3 linked regions of the Arabidopsis thaliana genome follow. The protein of the gene in region 1 binds, or shares a complex with, the protein of each later gene. Each region holds a gene or a part of one and is shown on either strand. Other genes may lie near its edges.

Evidence for each region. The genes of interacting proteins can lie anywhere in the genome.
Region 2: EMB2816 (region 1) and emb1644 share a complex: the UniProt entries of both Arabidopsis thaliana proteins name them as parts of the heptameric LSM1-LSM7 complex.
Region 3: EMB2816 (region 1) and LSM6A share a complex: the UniProt entries of both Arabidopsis thaliana proteins name them as parts of the heptameric LSM1-LSM7 complex.

The regions. Positions count from the first base shown.
Region 1 is NC_003071.7:1,177,301-1,182,604, reverse strand, and holds EMB2816 (Small nuclear ribonucleoprotein family protein), read right to left. Parts: upstream 2,635-5,304; 5' UTR 2,481-2,634; intron 2,389-2,480; exon of another isoform or gene 2,347-2,388; 5' UTR 2,300-2,346; coding exon 2,297-2,299; intron 2,212-2,296; coding exon 2,130-2,211; intron 2,028-2,129; coding exon 1,956-2,027; intron 1,639-1,955; coding exon 1,586-1,638; intron 1,439-1,585; coding exon 1,349-1,438; 3' UTR 1,093-1,348; downstream 1-1,092. Other genes in the region: REME1 (Pentatricopeptide repeat (PPR) superfamily protein), read right to left, coding at 1-1,045. UniProt on the Arabidopsis thaliana protein: Component of LSM protein complexes, which are involved in RNA processing. Component of the cytoplasmic LSM1-LSM7 complex which is involved in mRNA degradation by promoting decapping and leading to accurate 5'-3' mRNA decay.
Region 2 is NC_003076.8:9,813,301-9,818,950, forward strand, and holds emb1644 (Small nuclear ribonucleoprotein family protein), read left to right. Parts: upstream 1-2,199; 5' UTR 2,200-2,445; intron 2,446-2,566; 5' UTR 2,567-2,603; coding exon 2,604-2,606; intron 2,607-2,704; coding exon 2,705-2,746; intron 2,747-2,878; coding exon 2,879-2,977; intron 2,978-3,082; coding exon 3,083-3,160; intron 3,161-3,229; exon of another isoform or gene 3,230-3,367; intron 3,368-3,587; coding exon 3,588-3,624; intron 3,625-3,755; coding exon 3,756-3,863; intron 3,864-3,981; coding exon 3,982-4,004; 3' UTR 4,005-4,318; downstream 4,319-5,650. Other genes in the region: AT5G27710 (T-box protein), read left to right, coding at 1-212, 287-364, 439-581, 972-1,042, 1,160-1,255, 1,401-1,493, 1,636-1,718. UniProt on the Arabidopsis thaliana protein: Component of LSM protein complexes, which are involved in RNA processing. Component of the cytoplasmic LSM1-LSM7 complex which is involved in mRNA degradation by promoting decapping and leading to accurate 5'-3' mRNA decay.
Region 3 is NC_003074.8:22,094,152-22,099,298, forward strand, and holds LSM6A (Small nuclear ribonucleoprotein family protein), read left to right. Parts: upstream 1-2,317; 5' UTR 2,318-2,445; exon of another isoform or gene 2,446-2,664; 5' UTR 2,665-2,689; coding exon 2,690-2,804; intron 2,805-3,269; coding exon 3,270-3,383; intron 3,384-3,468; coding exon 3,469-3,515; 3' UTR 3,516-3,815; downstream 3,816-5,147. Other genes in the region: MPK10 (MAP kinase 10), read left to right, coding at 1-89; AT3G59800 (stress response protein), read right to left, coding at 446-634, 728-774, 866-1,001, 1,432-1,533, 1,937-2,023; LETM1 (LETM1-like protein), read right to left, coding at 4,138-4,241, 4,325-4,440, 4,522-4,604, 4,692-4,838, 4,912-4,959, 5,054-5,147. UniProt on the Arabidopsis thaliana protein: Component of LSM protein complexes, which are involved in RNA processing. Component of the cytoplasmic LSM1-LSM7 complex which is involved in mRNA degradation by promoting decapping and leading to accurate 5'-3' mRNA decay.

The DNA.
Region 1 (5,304 bases):
GCTCAAACAACTTCAGTGCCTCCTGGCTATAACCATTCTGTGCCAACCCTGAAATCATAGTGCTCCATGTAATCACATCTCTCTCCTTCATCTGGTTGAACACACGGAGAGCATCCTCCAAACTCCCACACTTGCAATACATGTCCACGAGTGCGTTGTTGAGTATCAAGTCTTGGTCATATTTCACGATATGAACATGAGCTTGCATCCCAAGCTCCAACAGAGCCAAACCAGTACAAGCCCTCAATACGCTAGTCAACGTAGCCTGCTCCGCAATGAAACCAGCTCTCTTCATCCTCTTAAAAAGCTCCAAAGCTACATCGCTTCTACTATTCTGAGCAAACCCACCAATGATCGAGTTCCAAACAATCGCATCACCTGTAACCATTTCATCGAAAACCGAAAGAGCATCCTCCGGCTCACCCAGTTTAGCAAACACATCAATCAAAGCACTCCTAACAAAAACATCAGACTCCAACCCCTCCTTAATAATCCCACAATGAAGCATTCTAACATCAGACATACCATTGCAAGATCTCAAAACAGAAGAGTAAGTATACACATTAGGCCTCACATTATCTCTCAACATCAAAACCAAAAGCTCCAAAGCCTTTTGATGAATCTTACACTTAGAATAAGCAGAAATCATCGTAGTCCAAGAAATAACATTCCTTTGAGGCATTTGATCGAACAGTTGGTGAGCATCATTCAAAAGATTGAATTTTACATACATATTGATCAGAACATTAACCAGAAACATCATTGGTCGATGACCATTGAAGTATAAATGACGACAAATGAGATTCCCTTCATGAACAGCTCTATTAGATATACAACACTTGATAAGCTCAGAATAAGTTGCAGAGTCTGCCCAAAGACCATGACTTTGCAATGAATCCATTGCTTTCATAGCTCTGGGAAGGTCTCTCTGGTAACAGAGTCTGGTAAATTCGCTAAGAAGAAGAGTTTGATCTGTGGAGCTGTAAGAACAACGTAACGTGACGACTGGTCTAAAAAGTTTGATCTTTGACATTACTGACTTCATCGTCTCCACTAAAACTATGGAAACAACTTCAAAAATTTCAAATCACTCGCTTATAAATCCATGGTTCAGTAACGAGAAGACTCAGACATTCGATTTTTCCGGTTTACTTCAGTTCTGGTTAAGGAGATTTTGTGCTTTGGCACAACGAGATTTGAGAACGAAGTTAGGTAAGTGTCCATGATGTTCCAAATTGTTTAAATTGAACATATATGTTTCCAACATCACACCAGAGAGTTAGATGAAATACTCTCTAAATCGCCAAGTTAAACTAATAGAGAGACATATTCTTTGAGAAGAAAGTCTTTAGACAGCCTCTGCAGTAACGAACGGGTTAGCGATTTCTTCGGTGCCATCGGTTGGTGAGACAAGCATCACCGCTGTTCCACGGCAAACCTAAAAACAAGACAAACCATCATGATTTAGCATCTAAACTATGGAACTCCATTACAAATAACACGATGCTAGAAGAAACAATGATATTATTTGCACTAAACAGGATTACACTTATAGTAATGAAAAAAGAAGGTAAATGAATCATACAATCAAACCAAGGCGTCTTGTCTGATCCGTAGTCTTCAAAGGATCATCATGATCTGATCAAAACATAACACAAGGGTCATAAAACTGAGTTAGATCTATGGAAATATGATCCCACTTCTAGTTTCAAAATCTAGCTAAGAGAATGAAATCATCCCATTCATATCACCAACATAACATGATTAAGCAATCAAACAGTCTCTTCTAATCAAAATTTCCATATATCTTCCAATGGCATCATGGAGACATCTGTATGAACCAGAGTAATAAACTTCATAGCAATACAGAGATTCGTTTACTAAGAGGCGGATTCCACTAGAGAATTGTAGCCTAACAAGATCAATGCAGTAGATATAGGTAAGATAAAAGATACCTCGAACGAACTCGACTGCTTCATCAAGAACAAGATTAAGCAATTGGTCATAGCCTTTAAGAGTTCCAGTCACTGCAAGCAAAAAACATAGCAACTATCAAACAAATCTCAGAGAAAACATTAGAAAGAATCATCATCTTTGGAGCATAATGAGAGAAACACTTGTTTTATTACCTTGTCTACCACCAGTGAGCTTAACTTGCACACCCTTATCTACAAACTTGGCCAAATCTAAAACCGTTTCTTTTCTTCCAGACTGTGAATAACAAACACTCGCTTAAGAATTAACTCGACTCATATAACAATGATACTTTGCTACTTCAATTTAGGTTAAACTTTACCATGTTAGAGCAGAGTCTTCGACAATTCCCTAAACAAAAACCCTAAAGATCTGCAAAAAACGGAAATCAAATTGGTTCAGAATAGAGTTGATGATTAAAAATTAGGGTTTGCAATTCTTTGGCCCCAAGTGGATTCGGAAAATGTGTGAATTCGGAAATCAACAAGTGGATGAAGAAACCTCACCGGAAAAGCAAAGATCAAAGTGACGGCGTGGAGAGTTAACCCAGAAACTCAGGCGAAGCAATCGGAGAATCTCACAAGGAGTCGCGTGAAATCAGAGTCAGTCAAATAGTCGCAGCTTCCTAGTGACGCTTTTTGTTTTTTAACTCTGATCTCGTAAAGGACTCTGGTTTAAATCCCTAACCATGGTTACCATATTATTTGAACTGAACCGTAAATTGAACCATAAACCGATAACTAAACATTAAATTGTTAACTAAACCCGAAATAAAATTGGAAGGGGATATTAGTTAGGAATTAATAAAATCGTAATACAATTGTTCAGTTAGCTAAGAAGAATAAACATCATCTGAATAGAAATTACAATAAAGACAACTAAATTTAGCATTGTCATTATACTCCTTACTTTTAATCTAATAAAATAGATGTTTAAAAAACAAGATAACTGGTAAACACAAAGCAAATTTACCACAACGGCACAACCTATTAAAAACAATTACTAACAAATTTAACCAAAAATAAAATTAAAACGAAACATAAGTTTGATCCACCTCTAATTCTGAGCAACGCTTTTAAAATTTAACTATGAACTTGTGAAGTACTTGTAAGTCGTAAAGTAAATCATTTGGTAAAATCTCTTAACCATCTATCGACACAAAACTCCAAAAAAGAAATTTTTGATTCTTTTACGAAAAATGCACACACATTTATAAACTCGCAAATAGTAAATATCTCTGTTAAAAAGATTTGAATAACTTGACCTAGCAAAATTTCAGGTATTCAACGGCCGAATCGAAATTTAAATAACACCAAATCGAGTAAAATTAAGAGATATTAGAGCCGTAAAAAAAAGATGAATAAAGATTCAAACGTGTTGTTGACCTTAATTTAGACTAAAAAAAAAATCTAAACCGAAATCTCAATCATTAACGAAGAAAGAATCACTTTATTCATGAATCAAAACCAAAAGACTTATAATTACATGTGAATTCGAAAATTTCTTCTATGTCATCTTCAAATCTTCTACATTTGATCCTCATCACTTTATAAAGTTCTTTGCAGACCAGTTTGACTCTAAGACTCTTAATCTCTCCTCTATTGCTTGGATTGGTCATCGTAGCCTGAGTGAGACTTCATTTGTGCGTATTCCAACGAGACGATGTAACTTCCAAAGATTGTCATTGTCTTACTTAATCCAACGCTGATAAAGTAAATACAAAATAGATAACTAAAAATGAGTCAACTTTATTTTGTAAAAGCTCCACATACATCCGTTTGAACTCAGTCGGGTCAAATCGGCCTGAAAATGCTTTTCTACTAAAACCATTTATCTTCAGCATTGACGGATATCACATTTTATAAATAATATAATAGATTTTTTTCTCAAAATTAGTAACTAATATTATCATGAATAAGTTATCAATCAAAAGTTTTATCATATGTCATGATTTCAAAAGTTTTTAGTCAACGTTGATAGATCATCTTTATATATAAAGGGTTTTAGTCAATGTGATATATTTTTCATTCAAATAATTTTTAATCAATAATATTAGTGGTGAAAAACACAATAAACAGTAAAAATAAATATATTTTACTTTTGAAAGATAATTTCTACTTACAACGTCATTATTTATTATTTTTACTGAATTTAATTTTAGTTATAAAAAAATAAATTCGTCCATCGGACGGATCCTTATCTAGTTAGAATATATAGTCATGTATATATATGTAGATATCATAATATAGTTTGTATAATTGTATATTTTGGGTTTGTAGTATTTGTAACTTTAGTTTTTCTCCTTTGGATATATTGTGTTAAGTTATTAGTTTGGTCATTTTTCTTTCATGTTAGTGGCATCTTAAACTATCGGATTTTGGTTTTTAGAATTAATTTAATAGCATTTTCTTGATCAGTGATATCAACAATGTGTGTTTTGGAACTTATTTTAAAACTATATCAAATAATTTATATATAAAAAAAATAGATATATCAAAGTGGATATCCATAATCATCACAAAAAAAATTCGGGTATCCGAATATTTTGGATGAAAGCAAATCATAAAATCAATTATTCTGTTAAAACGAATCGAATAACAAATATCACTAATTTTCAGGATATTTTTTCGTGTCCAGCCGTAGTGAGGACTATTTTATAATCTCCCTCTTGTTTAATTAAATTTTGGTTTCACTTTTATTTTTTGGACAAATCATAATCGTTATCGAAAAGTAAATTATAAACTATTGAAGTCTGATACACCGGAGAGATCAAGCTAGAGAAGGGAACAGAGGAGAGCTAAAACTCATATCTAACAGAATCTTTATTATCATGTAAATGTTTTTACAAAATCTTAATCTAAATAAAGTGTACTTAAGCTTATATATACATCACTAATAACCATACTAAACCAACCATCAGATAACTGATGTTAACCTGTCGCACCATATATCATAATACGCCCCTCTCAAACCTTTACGTTCTAAGTGTCTGGTTTATGAAGATAAAGATTTGAAATTGACATCTTCTGAAGTAAATGATGGAATGGACCGGGATGTAATGGTTTTGTCAAAATATCAGCATGTTGATTCTCAGTCGGAACATGTAGAGTAGTGAGATGACCAGCCTTGATTTGGTCACGAACTGTATGGCAATCTATCTCTATGTGTTTAGTCCTCTCATGAAATACCGGGTTCATAGCAATGTGGATAGCTGATTTGTTGTCGCAGAAGAGTTTTGCCGGACAAGTAACTTTGATGTGTAAGTCTTAAAGCAGCTGTTGTAGCCAAATAATCTCACAAGTGGCATGAGCAAGACTTCTATATTCAGGC
Region 2 (5,650 bases), on another chromosome or scaffold:
ATAAACCTAAACCCGAATTTGGACGATGCTCGCCTCGTACTGGACTCTGTTCCGGAAAAATTGACGCCGTTGAGAGACGGAGCAAGTTTGAAGAGGAGAATTCTCTAATCTGGTGGCCACCGGAATCGGTTCTAGAGCTTGCTCGTCTCGCTGTTGACTCCGGTGGTGATCCCGGTTCAATTCAGCGAACTCTCAATCCGAAAATGATCCCGGTTCGTCTTCAATTTAATGGTTTGATTTGGTTTATTGTTCGTTAGATTGAATTGGTTAAAATTTGGTTTTATAGGTTCCTGATGTTGAACGATCAAGAAAAGATAAATGTCAACTTACTAGAACTCCTTATGGTCGTCATTTTATAGCAGAGGTAAAAAAAGAAGCTATTTTGTGAACTGTTTGATCTTATGGTGTAGTGATCTGATTGATGATGTTAATGAACAGGAAGTGAACTCATATTTCGAGTTCTTGTTTCATCTAATTGAATCTAGGGGACCTAGTGTTGGATTGAATGTTTCATTGAGTAGATATGATTTGTTCCATGGCCATTTATTCCTTGCCTCAGAATCTGGACGCCTTGGAATATTGTAAGTCTCCTTTGTCTCCTCAACACACACTAGGACTCTTGAAATAGTAATGATGATCATGTTCTGTTACTGACTTCGTTGTGTAAGAATCGAGACGCTTTGATAGGCACTAGAATAGTAGATATAAGGGGGTCTAGACCATTTGGTTAATTGGGAGCATTTAGGCTTTGAGAGTGAAGAGAACTCTCTAGGGTTTGTTCTTGTGTTCTTGAATGTAACCAACAGTTATCAATAAAGGAAGAATGGTTTCTGATTCTTAACACAATTGTTGCAGTGTTTTTAGAAAGGTTGAACGTAAGTAATGAGTTTTGGGGAATATTTATAGAAAGTTACATGGTTGAGCTAGGTTTTGAGTACTGTTGTTGACTAGTATCTGATTGGTGATGGTAGGTTTCATGCTAAAGAGTATCCAGCCTATGACAAGAAAGTGTTTCCTTACAACATGGGATATTGCCAGAGAGGTAATATGGGTTCTTGTCCGTGTGACTGTGAGTTTTCTTGCAATCTCTTGAAACATAGAAATGGTCACAGAAATCCCTTAAATCTTCAGTATTATGATTGTATCTCCTTTTTGTTAGGATCTGACGTGAAATACAATGATTCAATGAACTTGAGGAATATCCTTTGGCTTGCACCATTACCTAGCAACTCTTCTCCAGATTGGGTTGCTCCAGGTATAATATCTGTTTTCATCTCTGAGAGTAATAGAAAAGATCTAAACACTTCATAGTTTCAAGATGATCTTGTCTTTCATTAGTATCGTGGAAAACAATTGTAGTGTTACGTTTGACATCTTCCTTTCCTTTGATTGATCTGTAGGTGTACTTGTGGTTCTTGATGCGCATCCGGATGGAATCATATACCGAGATCTCATCCCTGACTATGTTAAGTTTGTAAGAACAATATACGAAGGTTTGAACAACTCTATACCTTCTCTCATCTCACTCATCAATTTGCTTCATTGTAGATCACATTTGATTACACATACATACACTCAAAGTCTCTTAAAGATTTATGCTCTATTGAAACTTTATGTCTTATCCTTCTCCACCAGATGATTTGGGAACAACCGCAGTTGATGTCAATTACTTGAATGTCGGAGCTCACGAACCTGACTATCAGCTTTTCATGTGCTGAAACAAACCAGTTACAGATTCACAATTACACAGTTGTGTGTAATTGAAACTTTGATTAAGATTTAGTTACTGGAGCTGGTCGAGGTTCAATAACGTTCGAGTTGGTTGATAATTTAGAGAGGTCTGAAGTATTGTCGGTTACAAAATAGCTTTAACAATCACATTGCTGAGGCTTTAAGCTTAATTGTAAAAGTTTAGGATTAGATTTGACATATCACTTGGCTTTGTTTGATTCACACAGTTCGCCTTAGTGATGTAAATTAATTAATTTCGAGAGCATCAATAACATATTAATGATTAGTTATTTTCCACCAGGTAACCATTGCCAACGGCTACAAATACACTTTGGTGTAGACAAAGTATACGAAAAATTAAAACAAAAAGCTCCGATGCCGGGAATCGAACCCGGGTCTCCTGGGTGAAAGCCAGATATCCTAACCGCTGGACGACATCGGATTAGTTGGCTAGATTGATATGTTTAACAATATATACTAAAACAGATAATATTATAAAGTTAAGGGACTCGAGTGCAAAACTCAAAAAAGTTCCCATTGACCTAAAACTAAAAGACCACCGATTCATTAGAAATCCATCCCTCTCACTGTCAAAACCCGAGAAGCAGAAAAAAGCAAAAAACAGATTTCGAAGTTTCGACGCCTCTCTATTCTTCGATCTCTTTCATATTTGAATCGTTCACCTTCTTGCCGATCTTCGGAGTATATTACAAGGTTTCTCCCTTTTCTCTCAGATTTTTTTTAGTAGCTGAATTAGGGTTTTTGTTCCGTTTTCGCTATTGCTTCTTCCGCATCTTATAAAGGGTTTAATGTTATACTTCTCTGATGTCATCAGGTTCTTAACGGATCTCTAAATCTTCTGATTTAAGAAGATGGTAAGTTACTAGACAAACTTAGGGTTTTTTTCCTTCTTTCTTGTTTGCGTTAAAGTTTCAATTTTTATTAACTGAAAGCTGTTGTTTTGATTTTATAGCTTCCTCTATCGCTGCTTAAAACTGCTCAAGGGCATCCTATGGTGAGTAAAATTTCGACCCTTGATTACAATTTTGTTATATATGAAGTGAAGCTGAGTTTAAGTGAGCATTGCATTAGGGATCTAAAGGAACTTCCTTTTACTGTAATTTTGAATCTTGTTTTGTTTTGGTAGCTCGTGGAGCTTAAGAATGGAGAGACATACAATGGGCATTTGGTGAATTGTGATACTTGGATGAACATCCATCTGCGTGAAGTCATATGTACATCAAAGGTTATCTTATGTTTTCATATGTTGATACAAATATACTTTGTTTAGACTTCGTGATGAAATTTTGTGTAGCTGACACTCATATATTTTGCTGCTTGATTACTCTAGGACGGAGATAGATTTTGGAGGATGCCGGAATGTTATATCCGTGGTAACACAATCAAGTACCTTCGAGTTCCGGATGAGGTAATTTTTTTTTGTGTGTGTGTGTATATATCTCTTGCTTGATCTAGTTTTTTCTTTGTTCCCCTCTCTCTGGAATGATGATGCTTAGCCAAATCAGATATGTGCTCCAAGAGGCATTTTTCTGTGGAACCTTGTTCAGCAGATGGTGTGCCTCTTGTTGTAGTGCGTCTTAGACGATATCACAGGGAATGGTTATTGCTGACCAGAATGTTGACCCACTTTTATGGACTTTGCTGTGTTGTGTTTCTGATGCGATTTTTCTCTATTGTTTCTACTTTATTTCATTCCCTCTAAAATCAAATTATATTCACATACCATAAACGATATCTTCATCTAGAAGGACAGTCATATGCTGTTTCTATTTATGTTCTTACTGCTGCAACCTAGATTGAGTTAACTGACTTAAATTGATTTCTTCTCTCTTCAGGTGATTGATAAAGTACAGGAGGAGAAGACACGCACAGGTATAGTATTACTCATGTCTATATTGTACCTTTACTGAGATATGCTTCGAGTTTTCTGAGGTGTTAATATTTTGCCAGAGTAGACATTGAGAATACTTCAGGTGTTAATAACGATGGTTGAATATGTGCAGATAGAAAACCACCAGGTGTTGGACGTGGAAGAGGACGTGGTGTGGATGATGGAGGAGCCAGAGGCAGAGGCAGAGGAACTTCAATGGGGAAGATGGGTGGCAACAGAGGTAAAAAATACACAAACAAAGCTTGTCACAAAACTCTGATTTTACTAGAATACTTCAAATATCTGTGTCTTGCCACAATGGGATTTAAGCTAAAACTCTAATATGTTATGAAAAACAGGAGCAGGTCGCGGCCGTGGTTGATGCAACAAGTTTTAAAGACTCGCTGCCAAATCTGCTAACTTCCCATTGTGGAGAAAACCAAAAGTTACATAAGAAGTTGGTCTGTTGTTGGTTTTCTATTAAGTATGTAAGGGATAGGGAGTGTGTTTTTCGATTCTCCTTGTGATCTTTTCGAAAAATGAAATTTGTCTTTTGCCTTTTTGTGGTATATGTGAAATTCCAATTGTTTTCATTTGCGCTTAAAAATGAATCTTTCAGGTCTTGAATTTATATAATTGTTAGAGAATTTATACAATTAACCAACGACAGGGTTTTTATAAGATCTTTGGTCCATCTTACCCTTTTATTATTTTTCTTTTTTTCCTATCTATTCTTTTTTTCCTCTTTCACCGGATTTTCTCCATCACTCGTCGGCATGACATATAAGATTAGATATGATTTAAAAAACGCATGTATTTCAAAGACAAAACATGCTCTTAAGTCTTTACATTGACTTGTAAATTTTTGTCAAGCTATCTAACAAAATCTCATATTTTTTTTTTGGAACAGATTCATATTTTTGTCAAGATTTCATGTTATATAAACAAATTACATGTCTTTTATCCAATATATCATTAGTATTTCATAAAATAACTATGTTTTAATGTAATAATTATACATATCTGTCAATATTTCACGTTATGTAAGGAGTCATATGTATTTCTTCAAATATCATGAAAATTACATATTTTTCTTCACTGTATTTTTACAATTGAATTTTCCTCTTCTCAAATCTATCGGAAGTCTTATTGTAATATTAGAAATTGATAAAGATATTTTCGTCAATATACACCGTCTAACGTGTGAATCCATAGTTCTTTTCTAACAAAAACTAAACTTATGATTAATATCTTTATTTAATCTCAGAATTTGGCTATCTAGTAATAACAACCTAATTATTATCTGAGTAAATCCCTAGAAAAAACTAGTAGTAATGGAATTTGCATGAGAATATGAGTATTTTGGTCATTTATTTTATTTTTCTCAATGTAAACTTAAATATTTATGGGTAAACAAAAAATAAAATCATAGAAGATGATATAATTAAAGATTTGCGAACGAAAATCTCATAATCAAATCTCTCTCTTCTGACACACGAAATAATGACGATAATAACCCTATCCCGACACAATCTCTGACATAAAATCAAAGCATTTAATGCTCAAAATCTCTATAAAAAAATTCATGCATCAGAATAGTTAGCAGATAACGTATTATCAGGATAACATGATAACAAATATCTCGGTAATATTTATTAGGTTAACATGATAACAAATATTTATATCAATAAGTTTATAATTATGTCATGGTAAGTCATTTTGTATCGCGATAAGTTATAATTGATGTGATATATATAGATATTTACCATCTTAACTCATTTATTATATCATAATAAAAAATTAACGAGTTACTATAACGTACAAAATATGAATTTCATCCAATAACATTATTATTATCACTACCTCTAGATAAAGTTTTAGTTAACTAGGTAATTTAATTGTTAACCAATTTGAATCTGAACAAAAACTACCATTGCGTAATCTTCAACCACCACATCTCCGCCGTATTCTTCTCACCCCATCATTTCAGAACCATTTTTTTCCTCTACCGCAAACCCACACCCTAAT
Region 3 (5,147 bases), on another chromosome or scaffold:
TAGATGAACATCCATTCTCTGAGGAGCAGTTTAGAGAGTTAATCTACTGTGAAGCCCTAGCTTTCAACCCTGAAACCAGCAATGATTGAAAAGGACCATATCTTTGATCCTTGTTCTGTTTTTTTCTTTTCCTTCTCTGCTTTTCTTTGAATAATTTCCCTTTTCATTTCCTTTAATTTTTTCATCTCTCAGAAATTTTGTTGTGCTAAGATTTTCTGCTAGATTCCCTTTTGATGTTGTCAAATTTCATTTTTAAGCAAATAAACTGAAAAACCATGATTCTGTGGGCATCATTGCGACTTTCAATCCAACAAATATTAATACATGAGCTATTGTCAAAAATATAACATTGCAACAAGGAAGAAAGCAATCATATCCTACTTTGAGTATTTTGATTGAAGACAATCTTACTCTTTGTAATAGTTCATTTGCAGTTTTGCTTTTGTCAATTCTTCAAATTGCCAAAGAATCTAGAGAGTGGTACAGGGCCATCGGTTTCGTGTTTACTTTTGCTAGAGTGTTTGTCTCTGCTGGACTTGTGCTTCTTCTCCTTCTTTGATCTTTTCGAACTTGATCTTGATCTTCTAGATTCATCTTCATCACTGCTAGATGACGACTCTGAGGACGAATAATGCTGCAAATTCATAACACAACCGATCATGGTTCATGTTAGCATAAGCTAGAAAACCTCACACTATCTGATATAAGCTAAACTTTTAGAAGGCACCTTTCTCTTTTTGCTTTTCTTCTTCTTTGAATCTCTGTCTTTCTTATCTGCGAGGTCATTGAACCATTGGCGACCAGTTAATAACGTCCTCAGAAAGAAGGTTTAGATGTCATGTTAAGTTAAGTGGATTATGTTTACCTTTTCGTGACTTATCACTAGAATAGTTCCTTCCTTTGGAGAGTTTCAACGACCTTTCTGCATCCAGCTGAGCTCTATACTCACGCATCAGTTTATCGGTATCTGCTTCAAGTTCTCCCTTTTTCAATTCTTCTTCCTACACATGTTACACGAAAGAAAGATATAATGTTAAACATTTCCTAATGTTCCATACTCACAATACAGAGAGACTGCTGCAAGTAGTAGTAAAAAACTGATATTGCAGATAATAAAAATGTTTAAAAAATGAGCATGACTAGAGTTACTTGAAAACCGCGAGATAGGGATAGATGTAATGTAGAAGGAAGACACACTCATTTTTATATAAACACACAAAGACTGCGTATCTGTGGCTGAAGATGATAAACAGCAGAGGAAAAGAAAATGATATGTTGGAATAAAGCTTCTAAATTGACGACAATAATAGCAATCTTATGAACACTAAATCATCAATGGTCAATTGATTATCTTCTATGGCATTATAACAAGGAACACCGTTCCATACAACATACAGAAGAACTTAAGTATTAAAAAGGCAAAAAGATTACCTTTTGCTTCTGCTTATACTCTTCCCAGGTAATAGTATGTGTAGTCTTGAGGCTAGCCAAACGAGCCGCATGCCACTCTGGTGTATGAAATGAACCATCCACCTGAGACAATCCTCATCAGAAATGTTCCGGTACCAATGCAAAATATCAAAGTTTGACTAATCCAAATGCTTCTTTGTGTTCACAGCTTACAACAACAATAAAAAGACTCTTGAATCACTGTAACACAAACTCTGATGCTACACTTTTACGAAATCACATTTAAACATGGACTTGATATCGTCTACAAGACCTAGCAGGTATTAGATACAAGTTCTTCCCCCAAAATTGGGACTCATAAAGGATCTCTTGTAGGCTTAATTCTAAATGCAGCTCGATAACCCAACAACACAAAAGATCAACAAAACCATAAGTAAATCAACCAAATTGGAATTTTGTTTGGAGAAGTAAAAAAAAACAGAATCAATTTGCAATGAAGAAGATGAGAGTATGAAAAGGTACAAACCATTCCGTCTTCAACCTCATCCGGCTGGGCGGAGCTGGAACCAACCCTAGATCTCTGCATAGCCTTGTAAGCTTGATTCTTCCCCATAGCTAATAGAAGATTTACCCCACAAGAAACAGTCCGCAAATTCCTTGCAGGAGAAAGAGAATTTAGAGAGATTGAGAGGAATTGTTTGTAAAATCTAGGGTTTGGGGGATTAACGGTCCAAAGGGAGAGGATTTAGGGATCTGTAGAGAAAGCAAACGAGAGAGAGACGAGAACAGAAGAAACTGTGAGGTCGAACCGAAACGCACTGGAGATTTAATTTCACCCTCCAAAGTAAAATAATAAAATCTATAAGGACTAATGTTCAATTATTATTAGTTTTAATATGAAAACTCGATCGAATCGAAATAACAATAATCATATAGTATATAGTTTTGGAAATAAATAATAAAAGCCCTTAGGACCGATTCGTTATTTCTTCGCTCTCTCTTTCTCTCTGTGTCTCGTACTCGAGTAGGTCTCAGGTAAGGAGTTCTTCTTTCAGTTCCTTTAATCCTTGTTAAAGTTTCGATTTCTCTTTACATTTTCAATCGAATTCGCTTCTATTGGGTTGAAGGTTTAGGTTTTTAGGTTTCGGAGTCTTTTTGTGATTCGAGAGATTGACTCTGAATGGTTTTTACCTTTTGAGTTTTTGTAGTTCGAAGAGCGACCAAACTGATTTCAGATCTCAATTGTTTCTGCAGTTACGTAAAGGATCGAGCTTAAAAGATGAGTGGAGTTGAAGAGAAAGTTTCTGGAACGACAAAGACACCTGCAGATTTCCTCAAATCCATCCGTGGGAGACCCGTTGTTGTCAAGCTCAATTCTGGTGTTGATTATCGAGGTGCCTCTCTCTCTCGTTAGATGTTCTTATGTGTTTTGCAAGTTCTCTATCTCTGCTGCACTTTAGGTTAGAAGCTTTGACTTAGGACTAGTTCTTTTGTCTATGTTAAGGGAATTAAAGAGTTGCTTGTATTAAGCCCACTTAAGTAACTTAATTATCATGTTATGTCTTCAGCTTTTAAATGATTCTTTTAAAGTCAATATGTGAAGCTTTTCTTACATTTTCTAAGGTTTCCTTGTGAACATTGTTCAATGGTTTTCTTAAGAACATGTTCCTTTCTGCCTGCAATAAGGTTACAATAGTTGACTGAGATATTTGAATATTTAAGTCAGTTTCTCTCATTATCAAGGCTACTTATATCATTCTTGTTGACTTCTTTCCTTTCGTGCCCGAGTCAGTTTTGTCTATGTTCTGTTCAAGCTTAATGTTGAGTTCTTGATCAAGTTTTTATTACTCTTTTCACAGGCACTCTTACTTGTCTTGATGGATATATGAACATAGCAATGGAGCAGACGGAGGAGTATGTAAACGGGCAGCTCAAGAACAAATATGGTGACGCCTTTATCCGTGGAAACAACGGTAACTAAAATCTCTCACACTCATCCTTCTCTCAATCTTCTTCTTTGTATATCTTTCTTTTTAAGTGTGGTTTCTTTGGATGCAGTTCTTTACATCAGTACAGTAAACATGACTGTAGCAGACGGAGCCTAGGCCCATCATGATCATCAACAACAACAACAGTGGTCATGTTATGGCTGCCATTTTTGTTGTCTTCTTCTACCTCATATTAAAAGAGTAGTAGACATGTACCAAGATTGTCATCCTATGTTCTTCAGTAGATTTTTGGGATACAGACATCACTTTTTTCTTAGTAATATGATACTCTTCCATGTGACCCCAGATAAAGAAGAAAAATTATTAATTTATGGCTTGATACAATCATACAAGCAAACAAAATTGAGTTTGGGTGACCAACAGATCGAAACGAGGAAGATCATTAAAGTTTAGTAATCGAATTATGTCATTTAGGGATCACTGGAAACACACATGTCAAACTAGTATAACCAGTCAATCATCAGATTATCATATTCATAGCCATCGACACATTTGAATCAGGAGTTTCCATTGAAATAAAACGCTCAAGATATCATTCTTGGCGTAATGTTATTTTTAATCTTCAACCTCTTTTCACATTACTAGCAAAAGGTCTCGTATTCTTAGCCGCTTGTATATGTAAGTAGCCTGCTTATGTCTAAGCAGCAAAACATGAAGTAGAGCTTCTCTCAATAAAACTCTCTTCACTAGTATTAAAAAGTCTATGTGTGTCTTAAAATCATAGTATTATTTCCTTCAGCTTGATTCTTCTTCCGTTGCATTTTCTTCTGGCTTGCTTCCCAATCTCCCCAACCTTACAATGTCTTCCACCATAATTCTTCCCTCTGTTGAATAACAGATTTATAAAAAAGATCAACTTCAGGGAGATAAGAGCTCAAGAAGGAGAGGATCGCTCTGTTCTTTACCTTTATCTTTGGAGAGACTACTGATTAGTTGTTGAAGGCCGTCGTTAGCGAGTGTGTCTTTCAGGTACATTGCAGCAGCCGCAACTTCATCAGGTGTGACTTTTCCATCTCGATCTCTGTGTTCATTCAGATGTGATCACTTTAGATTCTAAGTCTCGGAAACAGAACACTCAAACAGAAAAATGGAGTCTATATACCTGTCAAGAAGCTGCCAGCCTTTGCCAATTTTGATATCCACATCATCAATTTCCTTCTCTAGGTTTTGTATCAGACCATCAACCTTAAAAAGTATGACCGAAGAGTAAGCCTCTTAAACAAATCTCATGGGACTTTAATAGTCTTAAAAACCGATTTAAAATCTTCTTACCTTCTCCATTAGTGCAGAGGAAACCTCGTCTGCTTCAGCAACTTCATCAGCTTGGTCAATATCTACTCTAGCTGCTTTGTATGCCTTCATTGCAGCTTTTTCACCATCTACATCTTCTCTCTCGACCATTGTGTTATAGAACTCCACCTGGAGAAACAGAAAAACAAAGTCTTTCAATCTACGACACAAAGTGCTGATCAAGCATTGGTGGACAGCGTACCTCTTTCTTGACCAATCTCAGGAATTCTTCGCGCTCTCTACACACCGACTGTTTATATCAAAAGCAAACAGAGTATCAAATAAATATCCAATAAACTGCTCTGCATACCCATTGTTGATAACCATAGACTCATTTTTCTTACAGAAGCGGAAGCCAAAACGCCCAAGGCGCGGCTAAGTTTGCAAAGATCATCTTGTTGTTCAAGAACTCTAGCTCTGGCCTGTTCTTGTGCTTCG